Linked DNA regions of Canis lupus familiaris. The protein of the gene in region 2 purifies or fractionates together with the protein of the main gene of each other region. This does not show direct contact. Links are inferred from orthologs where the notes say so. Each region holds a gene or a part of one and is shown on either strand. Other genes may lie near its edges.

Region 1 (4,444 bases), on a different chromosome or scaffold from region 2:
TGAACTGGGTAAGTTTCTTATTCCACAGATTGCCAAGTTCCCATTCTGGGTTTGACACTTTGATTTGCAAAAGTGTCTTTAAAAATAAGTAAGCATACCAGATGTTACTCCCATCAAGACAGAAACAACCACTTTCTAAGCACAGGTGATACAAATAAGTTTAAGGAATTTGTCTTTCAAAAAACTCATTGTATAAAGTAGGTGTTTAATATCTTAGAGAACGTAAGGGAAAATGTTGTACTGTCACTGTCTCTAATCGTTTTTATTTTAAGATTTTATTTATTTATTCATTAGAGACACAGAGACAGAGACAGAGAGGCAAGAGACATAGGCAGAGGGAGAAGCAGGCTCCATGCAGGAAGCCCAATGTGGGACTCAATCCCGGTACTCTGGGATCACGCCCTGAGCTGAAGGTGGAAGCTCAACTGCTGAGCCACCCAGGCATCTCTCTAATGGTTATTTTTAAAAAAACTAATTAAATAGAAGAAATGTTATACATAGGAATCCATTTCCGCTGTAATAATCTTTTCTCTCAATAACAATTTTTGACTAAATGAAGTTATATTCTACTCTGATCTTATCCAGTTAACAAATTACTAGAACTCAAAATTCATTTTTTTAAAAATATTTATTTATTCGAGAGGGGGGTGAGGGGGGAGAGAGAGAGAGAAAGAGGCAGGCAGAGACACAGGCAGAGGGAGAATCAGGCTCCATGCAGGGAGCCTGACGTGGGACTCGATCCCAGGTCTCCAGGATCAGGCCCTGGGCTGAAGGCAGCGCTAAACCGCTGAGCCACCTGGGCTGCCCTCAAAATTCATTTCTATTTGATTTGGGCAGTAGTATATGATTTTTTGAAGAGACCAAAGTTTTATGGAGATGAAGCATTTCATGCCAACGCATTGCTGGAAGACTGAAAAACACAACCAGAAATATTTTGGATAGCCGAGCAAATGAGCCTCTAATATTAATGGCTTCTCTCTGTTCCTAGGGACACAGAGATGACAGTAATTTGAAACGCATACACTAATTTTTTTCTGTAGAACATCACCAATTCTATCAAAGTTTTTCCTTTCTACTACAACCCTTTAAATTTAACATGATACAAAACTAAGATTCTCATATAAAGTTGAACACGTGTTTCCATTACTTACATTCAACTAAAAACTGAAGTTGTGGAGATTAAATAGCCTAGCATCTGGCACATATTAAGATCTCAAGAAATGTTGGATCTATCATGTGATATACAGAAATAACACTGAAATGAGCTTATCCTTTAGGTGGATCTAGTTGCAATTAAATGCTAATGACTGATGAACCAAATTGTGTTTTTTTTCCCCCCAATTATGTTTTGTAGTTATTTCAGTCAATGGGATTCCCAAAAGGGTATACTTCCTACCTTTCAATGATTTCTGCCCACAGTAAGCAGAACTGCCACAAAGTCCTGGAAGTTACTAGAACCTGAACTGCAAGTCAAGCTTGGCTACAGTTCTACCCAGTAATACTACCTCCCCATACCTAGAGGTCAAAATGCTGGAAGGCTTGAGGCACATCTAAAAACTGGAGCCATAAATAGTGCTGACCTCTAACCCCACTCTCCCAAGCACCAAAGCTGTTTTCTTTAGCTACTTTTACCCTAAGCGTGTGCGTGTAAGAAGGGCAATTTCCTCCGGGTTCTGCTTGACTGCTCTTGGAAGTGACTGCCAAGAAAAACTCAACACTGTGGGAAAGGAGGGGTGGTGATTTCTGGTGAGCATGACCCAGACTTAACCCTCCAGAGCTGGGTGAAGGTGTTTCACAAATGTATACCCAAGGGGGCACTGAAGTAACATTTTTAAAAAAGATTTTATTTATTCATGAAAGACAGAGACATAGGCAGAGGGAGAAGCAGGCTTCCCGTGGGGAGCCTGATGTGGAACTTGATCCCAGGACCCCGGGATCACTACCTGAGCCAAAGCCCTACTCTCAACCACTAAGCCACCCAGGTGCCCCTGAAATAACATCTAACACAGATAGCACCTACTATATACCAGGCGCTATTTGGCAAGGTTTACATATATGTCAAGAGTTTAAGCTTCAGGACAACCCCTTGGGGTGAATACTCGTATTATCTCTTTAGAGAGCTGGAAACCGAGCAAGGGAGATTTAAAACAAAAACCTGCCTAAGCTCACAGAGCTAGTAAATGGTGAGGCAGGTGTTTGAACAGGACCAGTTTCTGAAGTTCACGTTCTTAACACACCACGTGGCCTCTTAGTCAAGAAGAACAAAATTAGGAAGACTTCAAATGAATGGGCAGGATCAACTGGGGACTCGTGGATGCCCCAGGCCCCCTTTTCTGTCAGCAGTAAATGAACGGGCATTTCTGGAGCACACCTACTGTAGCCAGCGCCGGGAGTCACAGCTGACCTCCCCGTGGACCTGGTAGAGCTCCCCTCCCCCCTTTTGCGGCTGATGGGCCCAGCAGCCGCTAGTCCCGGAGCAGGGAGCCGAGTGCCAGGCGCGAAGGCAGAACAAAAGGCCCGCTACCCTCCGGCCGCTCCGCAGCGCCCTAAGAGGCACCACACCGCGCGCCCCCAAGCCCTGGCCGTACTCCCGCGTCGGGCCCCGCCTCGACCCCGCTCGCGCCCTACCCCGGGCCGCCCATGCTGCTGCCTCACCGGCTTCTGGGAGACGCCCGACAACACGCGGGAGACAGCGGCGAGCATCTTCCTCATGGATTGCCGGCAGCGGCGGCGGCGTAGGCGACTCCCAAGTACACAGGCGGCGCGGCCCCGAAATCTCCCAAGTCTCCTTCAGGCGCCCGGAGCGGACGCCACGCCTTAACTGCAGCACGACCGACGAAACGGAAATTCGTCACGCGCCGCGCCAGGCCGCAGGCCAACCAAGCGGGCTCCCAGTTGCGTGTCCCGCCCACCGAAGAGGTCCGCGGCCGCTCATTGGGTGTTGGCGCCATAGGGGGCGGGCACTGGGGGGCTCGTTGCGTCATCACGTCACGGGCGGGCGGGGATGCGGGAACTTGAGGGCGTCCGCCTGGGAAAGTGGAGCCCCGCCTCCGGAACCCCGCGGGAAAATGGCTTTTCATGGAGTTTTGCGACTCAGGTTAGGCGTGCACGGCGGGAAACCGTACGGGCCACCTGCCGTGCGCCCAGTCTCGCCGGGGCTGCACTTTGGCAGCCTTCGTTCAATGCACGGCAAGATGAAGACTCATGGCGTGGTCGGAGCCGAGACGGAACCTCTGGTTTCTGTAAATGGTTCTGCTGCTAACTTGTCTTTAAGAGATCATGTAACAGTTGTAAAATGCTGCCCTGTGTACTTGAGTTACGATCTAAAAATCAATTCCCCAAGTAAATATTGAGAGATCAGCTGGGAAAAGCCTTTAGCTCTAGTTACTGGTTCGCGAGCTCAACGGGAGTTAACAGCCGCATGACACAGCTGATAATAAAAGCACACACAAAGAAGCAAACACAAAAATAAGTCTAGGCTCGATTCAGTGAGTTCCCAGGTCAGAGAGCTGACTGTGGGCCAGTGGGGTTACACCTGGGATACTAGGTTCAGATTTGGGGTCCCCATGTAAGGGGAATGTTGTCAAAAATGGGTGGAATCCAGGGGACAGTGGTCAGAATGGTGAGAGGCTGAAACCACAATTTGAACTCCAAGAACTTGAACCGACTCAAGGACTCAAGTCACCTTGTTTACACTTCAGGTCCCTCACGGCTTGGCTGGGATCTGCTCCATGTCATCTTCACTCTGGCACTCAAACTGATGGAATAGCATCTGTCAGCAACTTACTGTACCTACTGTACCGTAAAAGGCAAAGGGATCATTTAAACTGGCTCTCAGGGCAGCCCTGGTGGCTCAGCAGTTTAGCGCCGCCTTCAGCCCAGGGCGTGATCCTGGGGTCCCCGGATCGAGTCCCACGTCAGGCTCCCTGCATGGAGCCTGCTTCTCCCTCTGCCTGTGTGTCTGCCTCTCTCTCTTAAAAAAAATAAATAAATAGGGATCCCTGGGTGGCGCAGCGGTTTGGCGCCTGCCTTTGGCCCAGGGCGCGATCCTGGAGACCCGAGATCGAATCCCACGTCAGGCTCCCGGTGCATGGAGCCTGCCTCTCCCTCTGCCTGTGTCTCTGCCTCTCTCCCTTTCTCTCTCTGTGACTGTCATAAATAAATAAAAAATAAATAAATAAATAAACTGGCTCTCAAAGCTTCTACCCAGAAGTGACACATGTCATGTCCTCTCAATTTCCATAAACCAGAGCTAGTCACACAACCGTATCTGAGTTCAACAGGTTGAAGTATAATTCTCCTGTCAGGAGGAAACCCAGAAAAGAGGCTGAACAGTAAAACCATAGAGGATTAGATACATCTTTACACATTTTCATACCAGTCATGTTCCAGGAGGAAAAGTTATTGTGAGCATATGTGTGAATAAAATGGTTTCGGTTGAGTA
Region 2 (3,645 bases):
ATTGATATTTTGATGCCACAGATCATGACACAGTGTGAGACCAGGTCAGTAAGATATGTAGCGAGAGATGAAGTGGCTGTTTTCCTGATGCTCTTGTTTCTCTATGGATGTATCTACGATTTGACCAGAAATTCTCTCCTGAGGAAGCCATCAGATGCTAAATGCTTTTCTATGTTTGTCAAAACCATAATGGTACTGCTTACAAAAGTAGAAAATAAGCCATATGTCTGACAGTAGAAGTCTTGGCATATATTTCGGCAAAACCATAGGAAGCAGTGCTATATAATCATCAAAACATTTAATACCATGGAGACAGAGTCACAGTTTGGTGAAAGGCAGTGTGGGGCCCTCACTTGCCACTGGCTGGAACTTGAATGGCACACTCGCAACAGAAGAGAAGCTTGCTGGCATTTGCAGACATCCACAGGCTCGCAGCCTGTGGCTCAGCGTTCCCTTCCTGGGAGTGAACGCAAGTGAGCTCCGTATTTGCTGGAGCAGACCTGTGTGGGAACGTGTCCACCACCAGTAAAATGGACAGATGCCAATGCTATGAAAATCAAGAAAGGTGGGGAGTCTTCCAGATGAAAGGGAAACAAGAGAGGGCACAGAGTGGGGGCGTGTGTGTGTGGAGTCTGGGACATGGAATTGATTAGGCTGCTCAGGGAACATCCCTGTTTTAGCAAATGGGGACTACCACCTACGTCCTGTGTCGCACGCGTGTGGAGGGAGGGAGCATGGATGGTAAAAGACAAAAGGCAACAAATGCCAAATCTGAGTAAAGAGTGTATGGGAGTTATTTGTGTTATTCTTTCAACTTTCTCCACTCTGAAATTGTATCAAAATTGTAAAGTTGGGACAAGCCTAAGAGGATAGTCGCTGCAGCAGAAGCAGGTCATGTTGGCACAGAGGTTTGGAGGCGCTCATGTGTGACCACTATGGTATTGTCACACTGTGCGTGTGAGGCATTTCCTAGAAGTCAATAGGAGATATAGGTCATAGAAATACAAATATAGACAAAGTAAGGATGATCATGAAAGCTTTAAATTTTCCTTTCAAAGAAAACAGTGCTGATGGGGATCCCTGGGTGGCTCAGCAGTTTAGTGCCTGCCTTTGGCCCAGGGTGTGATCCTGGAGTCCCGGGAACGAGTCCCACGTCAGGCTCCCTGCATGGAGCCAGCTTCTCCCTCTGCCTGTGTGTGTGTGTGTGTGTGTGTCTCTGTCTCTCATGAATAAATAAAATCTTGAAAGAAAGAAGAAAAAAGAAAGAAAGAAAGAAAGAAAGAAAGAAAGAAAGAAAGAAAGAAAGAGAAAAGAAAGAAAGAAAAGGAAAGGAAAGGAAGGAAGAAAAAAAAAGAAAAGAAAAGAAAAGAAAGACAAAATAGTGCTTACAGTGTTAAATGAAGAAACTGCTGGGTTATAGACCAGCCTCTGAAATTTTTAATATATATTAGCTGTATATGTGCAAAGAAAGACATCAAGGTGTTTACCCTGTACCTGGTGGAAAGATATGTAACTTTGTTTAAATTAACTTTAATTTTTTAATCCTGTCTTCCAAACTCTATGTGTTGAACATATGAAGTTTATTCGCAGAATAGGAAACAACAAAACAGTTTTTAATAAACCACCTGAGTAGCCATTTGGGGACCAAGTAGGGCAGGTGCAGCCAGGAGGCAGCTAAGACAGTGGTGCTCCACCCACCCCACCCAGCCTAACCCCGCCCAGCCCCACCTGTCTGACCCGGCCCCGCTGGGCCAGTGGAGTGCCATCCACCTTGCCCAGCCCCGCCCAGCAGTGTGTCTCTTGCAGATCGGCTTCACCACTGACCCACGCATGGCCCGCTCCTCACCCTACCCCACTGACGTGGCCCGCGTCGTGAATGCGCCCATTTTCCACGTGAACTCGGACGACCCAGAGGCTGTCATGTATGTGTGCAAGGTGGCGGCCGAGTGGCGGAGCACCTTCCATAAGGACGTGGTAGTGGACCTGGTGAGCAGCCTCCATCTGTGTCTGGGAGAGGAGCAGTGGGCTCCCACTCGAGGCAGACCCACCCACATCCTAGGGCCCTGCCGGGAAGGAAGGTAGTTCAGGTCTTGTGTCAGGGTGTCCTCAGGTCACTGGTTTCATCTCCTGTGGTGGCGACTCTGGCATAAAGGAGATTTCAGCAGGACCCGAATTGTAGAGGAGGGACAACAGGGCGCACGGTGCAGGAGAGCAGGCTGGTGCTGGTGGGTCTCTGATGCCAACATGTCTGGGCTGTGTCCAGGTGTGTTATCGGCGCAACGGCCACAACGAGATGGATGAGCCCATGTTCACGCAGCCACTCATGTACAAGCAGATCCGCAAGCAGAAGCCCGTGCTGCAGAAGTATGCAGAGCTGCTGGTGTCCCAGGGTGTGGTCAACCAGCCGGAGTACGAGGTAAGTCCCCGGTTCCAATCCAGGAGGGGTGGACAGAGACCAGGCAGGGACAGGGCATCTGACCTCAAGCAGGTCTGCAGCCCCTAGACACAAAGCAGATGCTAGGGATAAAGATGAGAACACAGCAGGCTTCTGGCAGGCCTCAGAGCCGTCGTACACATGGGGGGCCAGCAGAGTCAGGTGCGCTGTGGTGGGTGGGGTACCCTATGCAGAGCGCCCCTAATGGCTGTGCTATGCCTGACCCCACAGGAGGAGATCTCCAAGTATGATAAGATCTGCGAGGAGGCCTTCACCAGGTCCAAGGACGAGAAGATCTTGCACATCAAGCACTGGCTGGACTCCCCCTGGCCCGGTGAGTGAAGAGCATCGCCTTTGCCCCTCTCCTCCACCCCCACCACACCCCTGTGGGCTACAGTTGGTTTCTAGAAGAGTGGCGGCCATGTGTCAGCTTGTCTCCCTGTCCTAGGCTTCTTCACCCTGGACGGACAGCCAAGGAGCATGACCTGCCCCTCCACAGGCCTGACGGAGGACATTCTGACACACATTGGGAACGTGGCCAGTTCCGTGCCCGTGGAGAACTTCACCATTCATGGAGGTGAGGACGCCCACTGACCTGTGGAAGTGTTGGGCCATGTCCGTGGACTTCTCTCCAGCACGGGACTGGCTCAGCATGGTCCTCCACCCCCGTGACAGAGGAAAGGGTGGGCCATCACAGCTGCTGGCCAGGCCGAAGGAGCTACTGCTCTTGTCCCCCGCTGGTATGCCCGGTGGCTGCTGAGCACCCTGTCTGTGCAGGACTGAGCCGGATCTTGAAGACCCGCGGGGAGATGGTGAAGAACAGGACCGTGGACTGGGCTCTGGCGGAGTACATGGCTTTCGGGTCCCTCCTGAAGGAGGGCATCCATATCCGGCTAAGCGGCCAGGATGTGGAGCGAGGCACCTTTAGGTAATTCTCTCAGGATTCTTTTGGCACCAAAAGGGAGGGCTCTGGTGTTTCTCTAGAGAAGAAAATCCTGTGTCGGCCTGCAAGCACTCTTCCCCTGCTCAGACGTTGACACTTCTGTGGAGAAGTGGCCACTGCAGCAAGTAGCTGCCTCTTGGGTCTGTGTGTCAGGGCACAGCACAGGTGCTCCCACCTTCTAATCTGTGCTGTTGTGCCACAGCCACCGCCACCACGTGCTCCACGACCAGAACGTGGACAAGAAGACCTGCATTCCCATGAACCACCT
Region 3 (3,645 bases), on a different chromosome or scaffold from region 2:
CCTATAACACCTTGTTTTAATTCCGAGTTAATTGTCTCATCTTGCTGCCTTATCTCAGTCTGTAATCCCGCAGACAGAAATTTCATTGTTTGTGGCACAATGGCAGGTACTCTGCGGGCACACAATTTATTGTACTTAGATTTGGTCAAGAAAAAAAACCTAATGGGGAGGCTAATTCCTTTTGGTGGGTGTGCAAAGGACCAAGATGCTTATCTTTTTCTTCACTGAACCCAGTGAAAAATCTCTATTTTGTGCGAGCTGGCATTTCACTGCAACAGAGGGTTATGGACTCACCCAAGGAGTTTACTACCTTGGGTACCCAAGTCATCCAGGATCTGCTGTAGACCTGCTGAGTCAGAATCCTTGGGGTTGGGGCCTGGACATGAAGGCTTTGAAAAAGGTTCCCTAGATGACACTCACAGGCACCCCTGGCTGAGAATCACTGATTTTTAAGGGCAAGTGGTCCATGGTCCCTTGTCTAGACTACAATGTGAGTGGTTCACCTGCTAAAGGAGTTTACTTTTTTATGTTTTTTCTGTAGTATTAACAACAGTAGTGTCTTCAGTGTTCGCTTCTTCAGAACTACAGCTGTGTGCAGTAAGTACCTGCCTTCAGTTCCCTGCCTTCTTGGGAATGGCATTTTAATGGGAAGAGCAACAATGAACAGAGTTTAATTAAAAAGGAGAAATACGGACTACATTTGAATTTTTTTTCTCTTTTCCTAGAGGATGATGTGATTACAGTCAAAACCCCAGCATTTGCAGAATCTGTCACAGAGGGAGATGTCAGGTGGGAGAAAGGTAAGTTTTTAGGCTCTACTCCTTAAGTTTAAATATTTAATAAAATTGTCATTGCCGACTCCCCCCAACCCCCACCCCAGTAATTGGGTTCCTCCCTTTTCTTTACATGCAATGTAATTTTTCCTGACACTATAGGAAAGGGGGCTTGTAACACACCTATCAAAAGGGATTTTGTGGCTACTGGAGATGTCCCCCCTTAACAGGTAGTCTTTGACTATCTTTTCAGCTGTTGGAGATACTGTTGCAGAAGATGAAGTGGTTTGTGAGATTGAAACTGACAAGGTAGGCTTGTCCTATGTTAGTGTAATTTTTCATGGTTTCCTCTTGGTTTAACCTAATTTTTTTTTCAAATGGACTTGTGAACTGTTTAAAGATAATTTTTAACTTGCTCTAACCTCAATTGTAAAAGTGTTGGAATAGCTTATTAAAAAAGAAAAACTTAAAAGTTTTAATTTTGGATTATTCTCAATATAAGTATTATGTACTTTAGCAGAATTAGTTTTGTAGCATGTGTATGTGCACGTGCATGAACTGTTTTGGTTTGTTTTGTGTATCACTTGGAAACACATTAACTGAACATTGTTTCTGAAAAAAGACAAAGGGTGAATCTTCACAATAGCATTAACTTTTCATTACTCTGAAAGTGTGGCTTTGGTGTTTCTATAAGCAGAGTCTAATATCTGTGTTGTGACTCATATTTGAGATTCTAGACAATTTTCTAATACTGAGTAAAGATTTGGACTCTTTTACAATCTGTCCTTGTTTTCTAGACATCTGTGCAGGTTCCATCACCAGCAAATGGCGTGATTGAAGCTCTTTTGGTACCTGATGGGGGAAAAGTAGAAGGAGGCACTCCTCTTTTCACACTCAGGAAAACTGGCGGTAAAGAAGTTCTCCTGGTTGTCAAGGTCTCCAGTGTTCCCCCTTGGAATTGGGGCTGAGCATAATGTACTAATACCTTGATACCTCAGAGGTTATTTGGCATTCCAGCTCCTGTTAGTTGAGAGACTAAGACAGGTGATATTTACATAGAGGGTAGTTTAAATGCCAAGTTCTAGAAGAAAAGTATTTAAAAAGAAAAAAAAAAACGTATAATTTTCTTTCCATGTATGTTTCTTATGCTAGACCTTTGTTTTTTATTTTTTTAAAGATTTTATTTATTCAAGAAAGAGACAGAGAGGCAGAGACCTAGACAGAGGGGGAAGCAGGCTTCTCGCAGAGTGCCCAGTGCATGACTTGATCCCTGGACCTGGGATCATGCCCTGAGCCGAAGGCAGCTGATCAGTCTCTGAGCCACCCAGGTATCCCATGCTAGCCCTTTTTTAAAGATATAATAGAATGAAGAAGAGTCTAAGGTATTGATTTTTTTTTTTTCCCCCTCCCCATCCCTGGCATCAGAATCCCATCGGGGTTTAAAAACAGACAAATGCAGGGCACCTGGGTGGCTCAGTTAGTTAAGTGACCAACTCTTGATTTCCACTTAGGTCATGATCTCAGGGTCCTGAGATTGAGCTTTACCCTGGGTCTGGAGCCTCCTTAAGATAGTGTGTCTGTGTGTGTGTCTCAAAAGGAAAAAAAAAAAAAAAGGGCAGCCTGGGTGGCTCAGCGGTGGTCTTTTATTTAATTTTAATTTTAATTTTAATTATTTTAATTTAATTTTAATTTTAATTTTATTTTTTATTTTGGCTCAGCGGTTTAGCGTCGCCTTCAGTCCAGGGCATGATCCTGGAGACCCAGGATGAGTCCCACATCGGGCTTCGTGCATGGAGCCTGCTCCTCCCTCTGCCTGCATCTCTGCCTCTCTCTCTGTGTCTCTCATGAACAAATAAATCTTAAAAAACAAAAAAATTTATGGGGCACCTTGGCTCAGCTGAGGGTCTGCCTTTGGCTCAGGTCATAATCATAGGGTCCTGAATTAGCCCCTTGTCAGGCTCCCTGTTGAGTGGGGAGCCTGCTTCTCTCTCTCTTCCCTTTGCCTGCTGCTCCCCCTGCTGTGTGTGCACTCCCTGTCAAATAAATAAATAAATCTTAAAATATATGTAGAACACAAATGCCTAGACCCCATGGTCCAGGGATATATTAAATCTGAGGTTTTCAGATCCTGGTTATTATCCTAGTTTGTTTTGTTTTAATGCTCTCCAACTGATTTTGATACACAGCAAGGGCTTAGAACTACTATTCTAAAGTAAGAAGCAATATTTCATGGTGTCTATTCTGGAGAAGTCAGCATGGTTTTTTCACATCTATTCTCTCCTAACATTTTTAGGGAATGTTGCTCTTTCTCTAGGGAAGAAGTGAGAAATAGGAAATGAATTTGTATGGCATTTTACAGTTAATATGAGAGATTAGATAAGAAAATATTTTTCTGATTCTTAGTTAAATTCAGTAACTACTAAAGTCTGTTTCTTTTTCATTATCCTAAAATAGTTAAGGAGAGAGATAGTAGATTGCATCATTGAGATTGATCAGAGTAAGACCAGAAGCCCAGAATGAAAATAATGTGCAGTAGAAGGGAATAAGATCAATTCTTCCATCTTCTGATCATTCCTTAAAAAGAGTATTTTTATTTTTATTTTTATTTTAAGATTTATTTATTTATTCATGAGAGACACAGACTGAGAGAGGCACAGGCAGAAGGAGAAGCAGGCTTCTTGCCTGAGCTGAAGGCAGGCGCCCCCAAAAAGAATATTTTTCTGATTTAAATATGAAACCAGATATGTACAGATGGATAAAATCAAAATGAATATCTAATTTAAAGTTGTGGTTTATGAGCATAGATGAAATGCTTTATGAGCATAGATGAAATGCTTTGAACTATGAGATTTTGATTATTTAAACTTTTATT

The links.
Region 1: the proteins of OGDH (region 2) and PDHA1 fractionate together in Homo sapiens (co-fractionation; 3 studies listed by BioGRID). This does not show direct contact. The link is inferred for Canis lupus familiaris from reciprocal best matches to the Homo sapiens genes OGDH and PDHA1.
Region 3: the proteins of OGDH (region 2) and DLST fractionate together in Homo sapiens (co-fractionation; 3 studies listed by BioGRID). This does not show direct contact. The link is inferred for Canis lupus familiaris from reciprocal best matches to the Homo sapiens genes OGDH and DLST.

What each region holds. Positions count from the first base shown.
Region 1 is NC_049260.1:15,414,438-15,418,881, reverse strand, and holds the start of PDHA1 (pyruvate dehydrogenase E1 component subunit alpha, somatic form, mitochondrial), read right to left. Parts: upstream 2,836-4,444; 5' UTR 2,713-2,835; coding exon 2,656-2,712; intron 1-2,655. UniProt on the Homo sapiens protein: The pyruvate dehydrogenase complex catalyzes the overall conversion of pyruvate to acetyl-CoA and CO(2), and thereby links the glycolytic pathway to the tricarboxylic cycle.
Region 2 is NC_049237.1:14,047,296-14,050,940, reverse strand, and holds part of OGDH (2-oxoglutarate dehydrogenase, mitochondrial), read left to right. Parts: intron 1-1,806; coding exon 1,807-1,986; intron 1,987-2,263; coding exon 2,264-2,416; intron 2,417-2,665; coding exon 2,666-2,768; intron 2,769-2,882; coding exon 2,883-3,011; intron 3,012-3,211; coding exon 3,212-3,362; intron 3,363-3,579; coding exon 3,580-3,645. UniProt on the Homo sapiens protein: 2-oxoglutarate dehydrogenase (E1o) component of the 2-oxoglutarate dehydrogenase complex (OGDHC). Participates in the first step, rate limiting for the overall conversion of 2-oxoglutarate to succinyl-CoA and CO(2) catalyzed by the whole OGDHC.
Region 3 is NC_049229.1:48,328,257-48,331,901, forward strand, and holds part of DLST (dihydrolipoyllysine-residue succinyltransferase component of 2-oxoglutarate dehydrogenase complex, mitochondrial), read left to right. Parts: intron 1-541; coding exon 542-597; intron 598-725; coding exon 726-800; intron 801-1,026; coding exon 1,027-1,082; intron 1,083-1,570; coding exon 1,571-1,682; intron 1,683-3,645. UniProt on the Homo sapiens protein: Dihydrolipoamide succinyltransferase (E2) component of the 2-oxoglutarate dehydrogenase complex. The 2-oxoglutarate dehydrogenase complex catalyzes the overall conversion of 2-oxoglutarate to succinyl-CoA and CO(2).